Linked DNA regions of Lytechinus pictus. The protein of the gene in region 1 interacts with the protein of each later gene in a pairwise test. Links are inferred from orthologs where the notes say so. Each region holds a gene or a part of one and is shown in the gene's direction. Other genes may lie near its edges. The genes, in order: DNA-directed RNA polymerase III subunit RPC3-like and DNA-directed RNA polymerase III subunit RPC7-like.

The links.
Region 2: the proteins of DNA-directed RNA polymerase III subunit RPC3-like (region 1) and DNA-directed RNA polymerase III subunit RPC7-like interact in binary tests that used the Homo sapiens proteins (3 or more experiments, as listed by UniProt). The link is inferred for Lytechinus pictus from reciprocal best matches to the Homo sapiens genes POLR3C and POLR3GL.

The regions. Positions count from the first base shown.
Region 1 is NC_087249.1:23,388,523-23,396,280, forward strand, and holds the start of DNA-directed RNA polymerase III subunit RPC3-like, read left to right. Parts: upstream 1-4,740; 5' UTR 4,741-5,019; coding exon 5,020-5,166; exon of another isoform or gene 5,167-5,226; intron 5,227-7,758. Other genes in the region: NAD-capped RNA hydrolase NUDT12-like, read right to left, coding at 159-320, 1,336-2,009, 4,532-4,740. UniProt on the Homo sapiens protein: DNA-dependent RNA polymerase catalyzes the transcription of DNA into RNA using the four ribonucleoside triphosphates as substrates.
Region 2 is NC_087249.1:25,193,728-25,201,805, reverse strand, and holds the start of DNA-directed RNA polymerase III subunit RPC7-like, read left to right. Parts: upstream 1-4,980; 5' UTR 4,981-5,103; coding exon 5,104-5,229; intron 5,230-8,078. UniProt on the Homo sapiens protein: DNA-dependent RNA polymerase catalyzes the transcription of DNA into RNA using the four ribonucleoside triphosphates as substrates. Specific peripheric component of RNA polymerase III which synthesizes small RNAs, such as 5S rRNA and tRNAs.

The DNA.
Region 1 (7,758 bases):
CAGCCAGTTTGAATTTGAATTTCCCATAGAGATAGATGGTGATTAATGATTACAACTTTTTATTACACCTTTTATTGTTTGTCCAATATATTGTTCAAACTTTCACCTCTTTGCTTGTCTGATTTTTATTTTGCCTCTTACAAAAAGGGCCAACCTACCTGGTTCCATGAAGCCTGCCAAGCAAGAATACATCTTTCCTGGGAAGCCCTTCTTCCTTCCTAATAAAATGCTCTTCCCATCCTCAGAAACTACAAGCATAATAACCACTGGGTCTAAGCGTGGGTAGCAAGTGTTATGAACTCCGTTAAGACTTCTACAACCTAGAACATTAAAACAAAACAAATAAAACCTCATTCTCATGTTTGACACTTGTAGGATAAGTGGTGTTACAGACTTCTTTACTGAGCTATAATAATTTAAAGGACAAGTCCACCCCAACAAAAAGTTGATTTGAATAAAAAGAGAAAAATCCATCAGGCATAATACTGAAAATTTTATCAAAATGGGATGTAAAATAAGAAAGTTACGATATTTTAAAATTTCAATAAATTTCACAAAATAGTGATATTCACATCCTTGTGGTATGCAAATGAGGAGACTGATGACATCACTCACTATTTCTTTTGTATTTTATTATATGAAAAATATGAAATATTCAATTTTTTTCTCTGTTGTTGTGTGAAACAATGATTAATTCCTCCCTGAACATGTGGAATAAGAATTGTTGAATACTATATGGTTCAATCAAGTTGGTCCATATTGTCAAATATGTAAAAAAATGAAATATTGTATTATTGAAACAATAAAAACAAAAGAAATAGTGAGGGACATCATCGACTGTCTCATTTGCATGTCACTTAATTGTGCATATCATTGTTTTGTGAAAAATAAGCGAAACTTTAAAATGTCATAACTTTCTTATTTTACATCCGATTTTGATGAAATTTTCAGCATAATGCTTGTTTGATTTTTCTCTATTTATTCAAATCAACATTTTCTGGGGTGGACTTGTCCTTTAATAACCTGCAATATGCAGATAAAGATGAATTGGACATTGAGAATATGAATATTCATGAAACAAGGGTCAGCCTATTATTGGCCAATGATTATGCTTTAACGCATGGAAAAAAAAGAGAGAGAGAGAGACAAGAAAGCCATGGGATGATGTGATCTAATCCTAAAAAGGAAATGCTTCTCTAGAGTCAATTACAAAGCATCAATATGATATTGACATAAAGCTTGTACACTAAATGGTAAAGTTTACAACCTATTTATCTAACCCAATTGGCCAACATGTAAAGATCAATATTAACCAACATGAAAGCAGGATGTTACCTTCTTTTGTGCAGACTCGTTTATATCCTGCCTCTGCCGTGGTAGTAGATGCACCACAGGTAGGGCAGAACTTGTATCTGTCATGCCATGCCAACATGGACCTCCCCTGACCGATGATACCAGCATCTGCTGGACTCAGAAGCATTAAAGCCATGCGATTCCTCTTGGGTAACATCTCTGCTTCAGGTTTGATCTTCTGCAGATCTTCTGAAGGAATATCGGTAACATCCACAGCAAACCAGGCACCTTCGGAGCTCTTCTCTTGCATGTCTCCATCCTTGTTCATTGGAAGGTGCAGTGGACCTACCCCTAGGAATATAATGGAAGCTTCCTCTTTCAAGGCAAAGGAGATTTCCTTATAGGAGTATGCAGCAAGATTGTACTGGAACATTCCATTGCTGTCCTCAGAAGGGATGATGTATGGATTCAAGTATCTGTACAGGATATAGGTAGTTGTGGGTGCTTGCATGGCATCCCTTATCCACTGTTTGTTGGTTCTTTGGTGGCTCTGGCGATCAAGTGGGTTGAGGCCAAAGAAGTTGACCAGGTCCTTGTTGGCAACTTCTTTGATCTGAGGATCACTCCTTAGTAGATTGATGACTTCAGTATGGTCCCAGAACTCAGCAATATCCAAAGAGTTCTGACCTGATTTGTTGGGTAGAAATGGATCACACCTGTGCAATAAGGGAACAGAAAAATGTAGGCCTACATGAATCACAAGAGCTACAATAATCACAAAGATCTAAAATCTAATCAGCATGACAAAATTGTTTTGAATAGAATCAAAGAGAAAGAACTAGAGGTCTATATCTTCCTATTGGTATTGTACATCATCATTAGTTGTCATTACCGGTACAATGAATTTTCTAAACTGCTTTTTTTTTTAAGTTATGAAATACAATCATTCTCATTCTTTTTTTTTTTACTTTGGATGTACCATTTTTAATGAAATCTAATGTATAACTATGCACCTGCAACACCATCATCATCAAGAAATTAAATGCAAACTTATCTCCTTGTTTAAAACTTAATTTTGATTATAGCTGTCTGCTCATTATTTATTGTAAACTTTGACATCAAAAGTATAAGGCATATCATCATCATCATCATCAACATCGTCACCATCATCATCAACATCATCCTTATCAATTTTCATCATCATCATCACCACCATCCTCCTCCTCATGATCATCTTCATACTTAGACCAAAAGCTTCGGTCTCTGTTATGTTGGTTGTTCAGCTGAACTCCGTTGGCTTCACTCACCAAATACAGAGACCGAAGTTCTAGCGCGATCTGTACAGGGGACTCAATGGCCATATGTTTATGTACTTAAGATCGGATAAAACGGGGAAGTGAATTTGCGCGACAGCAGTGGCGTAACAGGCGGGGGGGCAAGTTGCCCCCCCTGGCGGATTTCACCGGGAAAATAAAAGAAAAACGGGAAAAAGAAAAAAAAAGAGGGAGAAAGAAAGGGGAAGGAAAGGGGAAAAGGAAAGGAGGAAAAGGAAAGGGAAAAGAAAACGAAGAAAAAACTTTTTTTTAAATGGAAAAGGAAGGAAAGCGGGAAAATGTACGAAAGAAGAACATCTGAGAAAGAGCAAATCATTCCAAAATAGGCCTATGTAATGCAATAGCACAGTGGGAAATAAATCAAAAGATGACAAAATGGCAAACAATTGCGGGAAACGAAGGTAGAATGTAATTAGTCAAAAGCTAATGGACTGCATACAACATTGTGCTTTAAGCTTGCTAAATGCGGGGCTAAATTTTATGCAAATAAGCTACCGGGGCTTTGCCCCAGACCCCACGCAGTAGGGGCTCTTCATTTATAACCTTCAAATGGCTCTATAACGCCCCCCGTTCAATCACTGGCAGACAGGCGGGGGGGGGGGGGTCTTGGCTCCACACCCAAGAGGAAAGAAAATAAATTATATGAGACAACGTATAATGAAATGAATGGAAACAATAAAAGGTGTTATTTGCTGAATATAATGGAAAAATATATCACATAATTAGAATTTAATTTCAATAGGCATTTTTTCCAGCTCGCTTTGCACGCTGGCGACTTTTTACAAATTTTTCCCACATTGCAATGTTTTGCTCCCTCAAAATATTTGGTTCATTACGCAACTGGGTTGAATAAAATTTGTTGTGTAAAATTAAGCTATATTCTGTATATGCCCGCGATTTGATTAAAATAGCGGCAATCTGCGAGGTTTAAATGGCTTTGATATCAAGAAGTTCCGGGGGCTCCGCCCCGGACCCCAACCGCACAGCACAGCGTATGGAAGGGTTGGGCCAAGGAGATATCACTCTGTGATATCTCCTTGGTTGGGCCATGGCTTCAAAAAGTTCTACAAACAAGAACAACAAAAAAAGGAGGAAAGAAAAGCAAAGGAAAAGTGTACCTAGATATGATTTTATTTACTGAATAAAAAATAGCTCAAAGTTAGATTCTCAGGAAAAGGTGATTTTTTCTCGCTCGCTTCGCTCGCTCGGGACTTATATAAAGCAGCTTTTTAGCACATGTGTTATAATGCGCCCTTCCGTTTTTTTTTTTTACTCTTCACGCTACTGCCGCACAGAATCCTGTTCACAGTGGCGTACAGACCACAAAAAAAGGAATCTAAAGAGAGAAGAGTGAAATATATTATTCTCTGGATATCATGTCAAAATCTATCACAAAATTGGATTTTTGTATTAAAAAGGTCAAAAATTTTTGCTCGCTCGCTTCGCTCACTCGCAACTTTTTTTTAAAGATAAATTCTGCCTGATACGCAATATCTGGCCTTCTCAAAATAGTCGCCTCATTACACCATTGCACCTGTTCATACCATGATATGACCGGGAAATTTTTGGCTCTTGCCCCCCCTGGCCACCGACCCCTGTTACGCCGCTGCGCGACAGCCGAGGTAAGTCACTGTTTATGTTCCTTTTAACTTGATTTTTCTCCGTTTTTTGGCAATTAATGCCAAGAGGGAATATTAATTTGCATTTTGGTCGCGTTAATTTTCAAAATTTCTATTCATTAAAGACAAAAATTGAAGAGCCCCGACGGGGGGATTTTGCATTGCAAGTCCCCTAATGGTGGCTGCACGCTAGCGAGCCGTCTGTGTACGAGGAGAAAAAAAAAAAAAAAAAAGTTTAAAAACTCCTCGAAACAGACGGCTGCCAGCTGTCTACTTCATACTAACCCATTTTGTAACAGGATCTTGGCGACATCTACATGCCCGTTCCTGGCGGCCAACATCAGCGCTGTCCACCCTTGTTCATTGCGACTATCCAGCCCAAGTTTCCTCATTCCTTGCACCATTCGAGAAACATGGGCCGTTTCTCCAAGACTTGCACAGCGATGAAGTTCTGTCAATAGCTGGTCCCGAGGGGCTGTACTGATGGAGTCCATTCTTGTACCTCTGTTCTAAATCAGTAAATGTGATGTTGTTAAACAAATCTCAAGGACAAGGTTCGTGAATCAGCTGACACATGAAAAGACCCATAAAGTTAGACTTTCATGCAGTCGTTTATAAATGTGCGCTATGACTACTGTACAGTGTGTTGTACGTGTGCGAGCCAACAGTCGAGTGTCTTTGCTTGATTAAAAGTCAATAGACGGTAAACGCCTGTTCGGAACATCTGTTTCCATTGATTCTCAACGTGCATTCGATATTCGTGCACTCCCGAAATGTCTTCTCTGCAACTAAAGTTGGTCTCTCTTCTTGTTCAGGACCATTTTGGAGATGCTGTAGAGAAAGTTTGTTCACACATTCTGAAACATGGATCGAATAATTTTCGGAGTATAGTCTGTGCGACAAACGAAAAACCAGAACAGGTGAGGTAGTACATCATGGTCATGCCATGGATGATGATGGGTTTCTTTGACTTCGGTCCCACGTGTTAAGAATTTTGTTGGTAATAATTTGGATTCTGGACTAGGCCTCGGGGCACTCGAACTCGAAGAAGGGGGGGGGGGGCATGTTTGCCTAGCCTGGAGGCTTCTGGAGAGTAAAAGTCATCTACTATACGTAGGCTTACTTTCCATGAAGCCTGAGTCGGGATACCATTGCTCTACACACACCGTAGGTTTTCCCACGCGGTGAAAGAAACCACTCTGGGGCTACACCGCTATTCCAACGCGTGTTGGAAAAGTCGACGCCAGACGGGTACGTTTTGGCCTTGAATTTCCAGCAAATTAATCAAAATTACGGCCTAAATTTAGGTCTATGTTATCAATTATATACTAATTTCATAATTATAATGTAAAACGGGTACTCACGGGTTCTTTTCTTTCCAAATTTTGTGTTTTCATCGCCTCTTCTGGCCAACTCTTGCGATGGATTTTGTCGCCATAGGATCCTGTACGTGCAAATCCAGGGCGAGTTGTCACATGACGCTCGCGAGTCTCTAGGGGTAATGGCCTTTAATCAAGGCGTTCTTTTTGCTATAATTTTATAATGACGCTTAAATATCGAAATCAATGTAGACGAGTCTGTGCAGGGGCATAACAGGGGTATATAAGAGGGGGCATAGTACATGTCGCATGTGGAAGATAAAAGTTACGTAATGTAAGTCCCGAGCACTAGCGTACCTAGGGGGGGGGGCAGTCTGCCCCCCCCCCCCCGATGAGTCACAAACCCATGCAAATTACATATCTCTGCCCCCCGGCCCCCCTGACGAGCTTGAAAACCTATTTTGCCCCCCCCCCCCCGACGAGCTTGAATACCTATTTTGCCCCCCCCCTGGCGAGCTTGAAGACTTTTTTTTTGCTTGTCAAATTTTTTCTGGTACGATTGAAGACCTTTTTCATTGAAGAGCCTTTTTTTCCTTTTTTTTTTGCTTGTCAAATTTTTTGGCGGCCGATTTTGCCCCCCTGTGGAAAATCCTAGGTACGCCATGCACTGCCCGCGCTACATGTATGTTGGTAGCCCTGGGACCTCTGGATATTAACTAATCCAATTTAATTACAGATGGCAGATTTTTTTATTATCTGAGTAGCCCCCCCCCCGGATTATTTGTTCTCACATTACTTTCCTTTTTAAATTTCCTTTCGTTCTTTCTTTCATTTTTCTTTCTTTCTTCCTTCCGTTGCTCCTATGGTTTTTTTTCAGGTGAAATCCACTCGGGGGATGGCCAGCCATGCCCCCATCTGTTTATGCCTCTGAGATGTAGGCTATACTCATGATCTTAATCTTCGATTTTCCAAAGTAGGGGGGTGCAATTTCTCAAGTAAAATTTGACAACCCCCCCAAAAAGGTTATCACAGAAAAATTGTCATTTTGTCTCGCGTAAGATTTGACAAGTAAAAAGAAAAGATGGTTACTAAAAATAAAAGACTCATTTTGTCCGTGTAATATTTGGCAAGCCTCCCCCCCCCCAAGTTTAACATATCGGAGGCGCGATGGCTCAGTCGGTAGAGCAGGGGTTTCGGATTCCGGTGACCCGGGTTCGATTCCCAAGTGGTGCGCTAGTGCCCTGAAGGCTTATCCTCATTACCAGGTCCCTCGGAGAGGACCTTAAGCCGTTGGTCCCCTGGTTGCTTGCTCACAGGCATTCGTGCTTTTTTAGCAGTCAGGTAAAAAATCTCGATATAACATAACATTAAAAAAAAGTGAAGGTCATTTTGTCCTGCGTGAAATTTTAAAAGTAATAAAAAGATGGTCACTAAAATTGAAGTTCATTTTGTTTGTGAAATATTTGGCAAGCCCCCCTCCCAAAAAAAGGTTTTAACTAAAAATGATTGAAGGCCATTTTGTTCCTCTTAAAATTTGTCAAGTATAAAAAAAAAAATCACTAAAAAATGAAGGTCATTTGTCCCACGTAAAATTTGACAAGCCCCCCCCCCCTAAAAAAAATGAAAGGTAGCTGATAATGATTGAAGATCATTTTTTCTTGCATAACATTTTACAAAAAAAAGTGTGTCACTATTTGGCGAGCCCCCTACCCTCCAAAAAAAAGGTTTAATTAATAATGATCGAAGGTCATTTTGTCTCTCGTAAAATTTGACAAATAAAAAAAAAGTTGTCACTAAAAAAAGAAGGTCATCTTGTCGCGCGTTATATTTGGCAAGCCCCCACCCCCCTAAAAAAGTTTGTCATTAAATATAGAAAGTCATATGTTCAAAGTAAAATAAATTTGGGAAGCAAAAAAGAAAAGGACAAAAAAGAGCAAAGAATATGAACAAAATATCCCCATTACAAATATTGCTGTGATTCTCATAAGGAGGTGGGGGGGGGGGGACTTAACTTTGTACGAACGACATTTTTTTTTTACATCCAAAATATTGACTATGAATCTCAAAAGGTGGAACGGGCCAGAAATGCTCAACCCCCCCCCCCCCCGATCTGCCATTGATTCCAATCGATAATGACTTTTCCCTGCAATACTGATGCTTGAAATCAAGATACTGAAGATTGATATATTGTAA
Region 2 (8,078 bases), about 1.8 Mb from region 1:
AAGATCGGCAATGTTGTTTTTCAGTCCAGGTCGGTCGACACGGCGACTCACAACAATCATAATTACAATATTCAATTCTATGGGACCTCGTCTATAAAGTAATCAAAATTGAAATAAATACCAGGATAATGATACAGTAATTTTTTCTTCTTGTATATATATTATTTCCTTCTGTTTTTGTATTTCTTCCAATTCTTTGTACTAAATACAAACGTGCACGAGGGCGCCCATGAACTTACGTAAACAGCTCGTGTTACTAGTGCTTAGCTAGCTTAGCTAGGCTTTTATTTATTTTTTATTTTTTATCTCTCTCGATCGATCGGTCAAGAGAGAGGTATTTGCAAGAAACTTGCAATCCATTGCAATCCCATTTTACATCTTCAGAAATCTTAAAGACTTTCAATCAATTGTACATCGGAAAAATTAAGAGTGCGGGGGCTTCAGTTTTCATCAGAAAATGTATGAAATAACGAAAAGGAGGGTTAGACTAGACCAGCTTAGCGTGTCTTCAAAAAAGGGCAGCTAACACTCTGACCTGACGGCACGCTCTATCAGGTCATGACCTAATTTGGTAATCCAATAAGCAAACAACTGTCTCACTGCCGTGCACCGCAAATCCCTCGAGCTCAAACAGCGAGCGTTGCCGTGGAAACAGGCTCGACTCGCCCCACTCCAAGTCATAAAGCATTTCTTTCTCTGCCACGTGGCCTATCACTCGCTCCTTGCCAGACATGATTACGCAATGTATTCTGGCTTCTGTTCACATTCTCCGAACACATCCCCTCCCCTCTCTCTCTATCTCTCTCCCCCTCTGCCAGTCGTAAAACATTCCTTTCTCTGACTGCGCTGCACTGCACTGGCGCTCCTTTGAAAGAGCAACTCGATGTATTTTATTAATATTATGTCGAACTGTCTCAGTCCTGTTCACTGTTCACAGGACAAAAATACGCCGGCATTTTTAAAAAAGGAAATATCTACGTCTCTAAAAGAATCCGCTACGTAAGAAGCACATGATCCTAATTCAATTTTCATTGTTAATGTTTTTATTATGCGTCGTTACTTCTCCCTTTTTTTCGTATGACGGTCTGCGGGTTTGAGAATGAACTCGGCCCGGCCCGCAATCCGCGATGGGGTGCATACCGGCAGGTTAACCCGTACCGCAACGGGTGCGGGTTACAACACTACTAGTCTGTCTAACATTAGATGTCAAACAGGCGCAGGCGACATCCTTCAAAACACGAGACCTCATTCGAATGAGTGCACAGGGGACACCACAACTATCGGCAACACGTGCAATATATTACGCACACAAAGAAATGGATGATATCACGATTCCTTGATACATGTGTTCGGATAGCACACGATCGAAATCACCGGCTGTTTGAGGGATGCGATGTTAACTTCGCAGTAACTGGATAGAATGGAAAGAGTGAATAATTTCCTATAGTAAACTCCCATATGGTTTATTATTTAAAAAGAACTACTCAAATTAGTTCATATCCGGCTATCTTACCACACAAAAATAGATGTACAGTGATCAGGACTCGTCAATAACTCACGCAAAAAGTAAATTTTACAGAGCTTCAGTCTTCACGCAATGCCACTGGGTATGGTGTCTTTGCTATCACATGATTTTTTAAATCTTTTTTTTAAATCTCATAGTCGATTACCAACGCCGAATACGGTAAATCATTGGCAAAACTCCCGGGGGCAGTCAAAATACAGGGGCCGCGGAAGCGGGGGGCTGGGGGGCTTCAGCCCCCCCCCCCCCTCTTTTTTCAAAAACCGTGTACAAAAACGTAAAAATGACGACCATATGATTGTGCTAGTGCCCTTGGCTTTACTTACTTACTTACTTATATGGATACTTATGGATGCTTCTGAACGCAGTCTAAGACTCTATATTCAGTTCCAAATTCTGTCTCCTCTTTAGGTTGGCCGGCATGTCCTGGTGGGTCAGCGTCAAACTTGTACTTCACAGGTTCACATTTCCAATACTTATCCAGTCCATTCTCGAAGCTGTGGACACTGGGTGCATTAGTAATTCATTACTTAGGCTATTCCAAGGTTTCCTCATTCTTATGTAAAAAGAATTCTTACGTTTCTCAGTTACTGACCTCGGAATGTACAATTTCTTATCATGACCTCTGGTAGGCCCATGCACCTGGCCCAAATCTGGCACTACCTCTTGGTCATACCTGTGAAATAACTTGTATGTTTCGATCATATCTCCTCGCGCACGGCGATATGCTAATGTAGGAAGTTTTAGTTGAATCAATCTTTGTTCATATGGAAGGTTCTTTACTTCAGGTACCAACTTAGTGGCCCTTCTTTGTACATTTTCTATTGCTTGAATATGTTTCTTTAAGTATGGACTCCATACTGCATGAGCATACTCCAAGTGAGGTCTAATCAATGCTTTGTATAGGAGTAGGAGGTTCTCCTTGTGAAGATAATAAACAAATGTTCTCCTAATTAGATTCATAAGCCTATTGGCTTTATTTATCTTTGACTGAAAGTGCTGGTCAAAACTAAGCTTTGTGTCGACAATCACTCCTAAATCTTTACTAGTTTCAACTTGTGATAGATTATGTGAAGCATTATCATGTGTCATAGTATATTCATTGAATTCATCATTCTTTGTACCAATAGTAAGTACACAACATTTATCCGGGTGGAACTTTAATAGCCACTTGTCTGACCATGACACAAGACGATCTAAGTCCGCTTGTAATAACTCAGCATCTCTGTCATTATTAACATGCATGCTTGTATAACTTGGTGTCATCTGCAAATAAACTAACAGTACTTGACGAAATCTGATCCGGTAAATCATTAATGTACATTACAAAAAGCAGGGGTCCGAGGACACTCCCTTGCTGTATTCCGCTGGTTACATCAGCCCAGTCAGAGAACACACCATTCACACAAACTCGGTGCTGTCGACCAACAAGAAAAGACCTCTGACCCACTTACATATGAGCTATAGATATGCCAAATCCCTCAATTTTGGCTAAAAGTCTCTGGTGTACGTGGGACCTTATCAAAGGCTTTCATGAAATCTAGGTAGATGACATCAACTGCACCACCAACCTCCAACATATTCGTCCAATCATTTAACACATTGAGTAATTGTAACATTGTTGATCGTCCTGATACAAATCCAAATTGTTTTGAACTGAGAAGGTAAGGAATTTATCCTCATTACCATGTCCCTCGGAGAGGACCTTAAGCTGTCGGTCCCCTGGTTGCTTGCTCACAGGCATTCGTGCTTTCTTAGTAGTCAGGTAAAAAACCTCGATATAATGGGACTTTTTGCATGGTCATCAGCCCCCCCCCCCCCACTTTGAAAACCTTTCCGCGGCCCCTGAAATGTACTGCTGTACACATGGGTAACTAAATTATTTCCAAACACCTCCTAAATGAGTTTTTTTCTGTGTGCAAATAATCACCATAACAAGTTTTTCGCGGGCAAAGTTATTTTGGCCCCTATATACATGTATTGTTGTCGCAAAAAAGCTTGGGGGCAAAAATACGTACCCTAAACACGTATGGCTATATAGTTTATAAAAAAAAACATACCCTGTACGTTTGACCCTGTGATTGACCAGTGACCATATAAACCACCGTTTTTTTTTTTTTTTTTTATCGCGGTGTTTTTTTAATGAGTGCATGTACACGCGGCCCGCGTCCAAAACTAAAAAACACCCCTTTAATCATCATCATCATCTGTACGGGAGGGTAGGTATATAGCCCTGTAGATCTCCCGGTCGTAAACGCTTGATGCATAATTAAAAGTCTAACAATTAAGTACAGTGCGGGCGTGGATGTAAGACAATTTCAAATGTAATGCATGACCAAAAAGAATCTAATCCGTGTTTAAATGAGTTAATACTGGAGGACATAGTGTTGCAGGCAAACTATTCCAAGATTATTGGATCACTCTTTTACTGAAAAAGCTGCTGCGCGTCAACCGACAGTGAGTTGTCACATGAACAGTTTGAAGGGATTGTTCCCTTAAATAAGTTTTTTGTCATGTACTGCAATATATTTGTGGTGGTGAAAGTGGTGAAAGCTATTATAAAAAGGAAGGGAGTAGGATAGAGGGCGGGATCATGATGTATATATATAGAGGGGTCTGGTATGGATGAGGTACTACACTAAGCGCAGGAGGTAAAAACCCTAGTAAAAACAAAACAAAAGCACAGAAATAATAAAAGCCTGACACAGAACGCTATAGGTTACCAGTATACGAGAGAAATAAGAGAGCTAGGGTGTTGTCGGGTGTAGGGTGTATATAGGCTCCATTTTTTTTTACCCGGAGGGTGCCACTCCACTGGCTTGACGGTATACACACTGGAACTATTCACAGACCCTCACAATCGATACACACAGCAGAGAAAAGTACCGAAATAATTTTATAAGGATATACAGAAGGAGTTAATTGGTTTGGAATAAAGGCCGGGGCAGCTAGTCTATAAAATAAAAGTCAAATTATAAGCTTGTCTACGTATAGCAATGGGATTTTTTTTTATTAATAAGGGGCAATTATACCTGTCTATAAAATAAAAGTAAAATTAAGCTTGTCTCTACGTATAGCAATTGGATTTTTATCTATTCATCGATTCCATTCATTTACATGTTTGTTTGCTTATTATCCTCATCATCATTAAATTGTTATCATCTTTATTTATTTATCTATTCATTTATTATAATTATTATCATTATTATTATTATCATCATCGTCATCATCGCCATCATCATCATCATCATCACCATCATCATCATCATCAGGATCACGGATGGGGTGGGAGTAGTTCTAGATTTATACCAAACATGTCCATATAGCTCATTTTCACACATACGTGTAATATTAAGCAATATCTCAACGTATCATTCTGATTTTATTTATTATTTCATAAAATTGCCAAAATATATATTTCCATCCCCTTATAGCTCTAGTCACATTTATTTAAATTCAATTCAAGTTAATACCAATTTTATTTTTAAAGACACCATACTTTCAAGTGGGTTAGAGGAAGAACTTATTTATTGTTTTAAGTTTAAGTTCCTTTTAAAACAACAAACCAGTGCTACTTCATTATGGCTGGAAGAGGTCGAGGTCGCGGGCGTGGTCGAGGGTCGTCGTTTGCTGCTGATGCCCTTGGATTAGGAAGAGGAGGAGAATCATTGCCACCTCCCACTGCTCAGCCGCCACCGCTTTTTCCTGTGAGTCCCACATCATTGCAAATTATGTTGGTCAAAAATGCGCACGGTGTTGCCGTTCCGATTCCGACTAAAATATGTCTCAAGATTTCAACATCATCAGGATGGGCTGATTCAAATCACGTTGATTTAAATCATTATTGAAATCGTGATTTTAATCTCTATGATTTTTTCTAAATCATTGATATAAATCACTTCCAGTTCCACTGGAAACATGTAGGCCTACGGTACACTACAATTACAATTACAAATGATTGACAATGACATTTTTTTATTTGTGGTAGTTTTATTTTTTTCCTCAAAATAGAAAGATTTTATCAATTCTATATCATCAAAACATAAATAAATGCTTCATATCTACTAAAAAAATTGAAATCATGTCAGTAAAATCAGGTTGATCTTGCAAGGTAGCCTATAAATTATGTTATGGTTTAACAATCATGACAATAACAATTAACATGTCTCAGACTTAGTCTTACTCTTAGTCTTAGGCCCCTAAAACGCACTCACACAAGCATGCGAGGTTAGTATACTAACCTCGCACAACGCATGTCATTTCATAATGAATTTTGACGTTTTCGTTCATCACACGAATGTGAGAATATGAAACACGCCTAAATCTTCACAATATACTATTACTAAATTTAGTCATCTTAATCTTATATTATTTATAATGTAATCTAATTTTAAAAATCAGCACGAACTTATCTATAGAAATGGATTTTAAACGCTTACCTCCAAATCTCAGCCAGTTACTCCATCCGATCCTTAATACTGCGGTGGAAATTATGCAAACAACGATCGATATGCGAATTTTTCCTATCGAACAGTCTAGATTCAAGTCGCCGGCGCATAATAGGAAATTGTACCAAAAATCAACAGGTTGCATGTCACGTATAATCGCTGATGGTGCTACATCATAAAATAACGCTGAACAGCGAAAAAAATGCGGAGCGCCTAGAACGCAGCCAGCAGTACAGCTGATCTGACGTAAACGACGTAAACAAGCAAGTTTATTAAATAATATTGCGCGCGCTCTCTGTGCGTATAGAGAGAACCAGCGAATCGGGGCCATGCCTGCTTCGACATCAAGAAAGATCATCGATATAAAGTACCAGAAAGACAGAGAGGAATTGAAATTGGCTTCATATCGTTTTGTAAGTTTCATATCCAAAGCTTATCTGATCTTAAATCCATATATATTGCTAATTTAAAATATATAGCCCGAAAGGCATTGCAAGTGCCGTGCAAGTGGTTATCCTGTGGACGGCGGCGGTAATGTACCCATAGGTGCCTAAAACGGCCCTTCTCCACAGATGATTTTTTTTTTTAATCATTGATTTAAATCACTTCCTTTGAAACATATGATGTACAAATGATTGACAATATTTTTATTTGCGGCAGTTTTTATATGTTTTTTTACTCAAAATAGAAAGATTTTATCAACTTTATATCATCAAAGCATGAATAAATCCTTCAATAAGCGGTTAACATGCACTTAGCCCCCTACTTAGTCTTAGACCAAAAGCTTCGGTCTCTCTATTATGTTGGTTGTTCAGCTGAACTCCGTTGGCTTCACTCACCAAATACAGAGACCGAAGTTCTAGCGCGATCTCTACAGGGGACTCAATGGCCATATGTTTATGTATTAAGTTTTGATAAAACGGAAGTGCAGTTGCGCGACAGCCGAGGTAAATCACTGTTTTCATTCCTTTTAACTTGATTTTTCCCCCGTTTTTTGGCAATTAGTGCCAAGAGGGAATTTTAATTTGCATTTCGGTCGCGTTAATTTTCAAAAGTTTGATTCATTAAAGACAAAAATTGAAGAGCCCCGACGGGGGGATTTTGCATTGTAAGTCCCCTAATGGTGGCTGCACGATAGCGAGCCGTCTGTGTACGAGGAGAAATTAAAAAAATAAATAAATGTTAAAAAACTCCTCGAAACAGATGGCTGCCAGCTGTCTACCCCCTACTCCACTTTCACTAATTTTTTTTAATCATTGATTTAAATCACTTCCATTGAAATTTGTACAATGTACAACTCCAGGATTTTTGTACTAAAAGAAATAATTCAAATAAACTTGCAACTTTTTCCCAATAAGTCACAGCTTCGCAAATCAATGCTTTAAACAATAAAAAAGCTTCAACCATGGCTCAAATACCAAAGGAGGTTTAAACAAACAAAAAGAAATGTAGTTTTCTACGAAAAAAACTGAAATTTTCAAAAATTTGAAAATATCCATCGTCAATCGTTGAATCATGTGCCGGAGCTTGCAGTGGAAGTAATGAGACAATCATTTAGCATGGTGACATCATAGAACTGATTTGGAAGAGTTAAAATATTTCGCCACCGCGATGAGAATCGGCCGTAATGTCAGTGTATAGCAGGTGGTTGGTTTCAAAAGAAGGTTGCAAATGTGAAATTGTCGTATTTGTTGTTCGCTGATATTTATGCGCATAGAAACGCAGTCATCGCAAGACAAAAACTAGGTAAAACTTATAAATACTTATGCAGATACGATTCTTATAAAATTAGATGGTCGATTAGGGGTAGTTCCAAATCACGCTACAAATTCACTGCCTATTCAAAAACATCACAATCGCAGTCAAAAGTATGACCACCGCTGCATCCATGCAATTGCAGTGTTTATGTTGGCTGTAGTCATGGTGGTAGACGAAAGAACTTTACTTCCAAACAACCCCTAAACGAGTTTTTCTCTGTGTGCAAAATAACCCTTTAAACAAGTTTATTTACACGTTTTGGCCCCTAAACAAGTTGTCGCTGAAATATGACCTCGGGGGAAAAAGCTTGGGGAAAAAAACATACCCTAAACACGTTTGGCTAGTCTTAA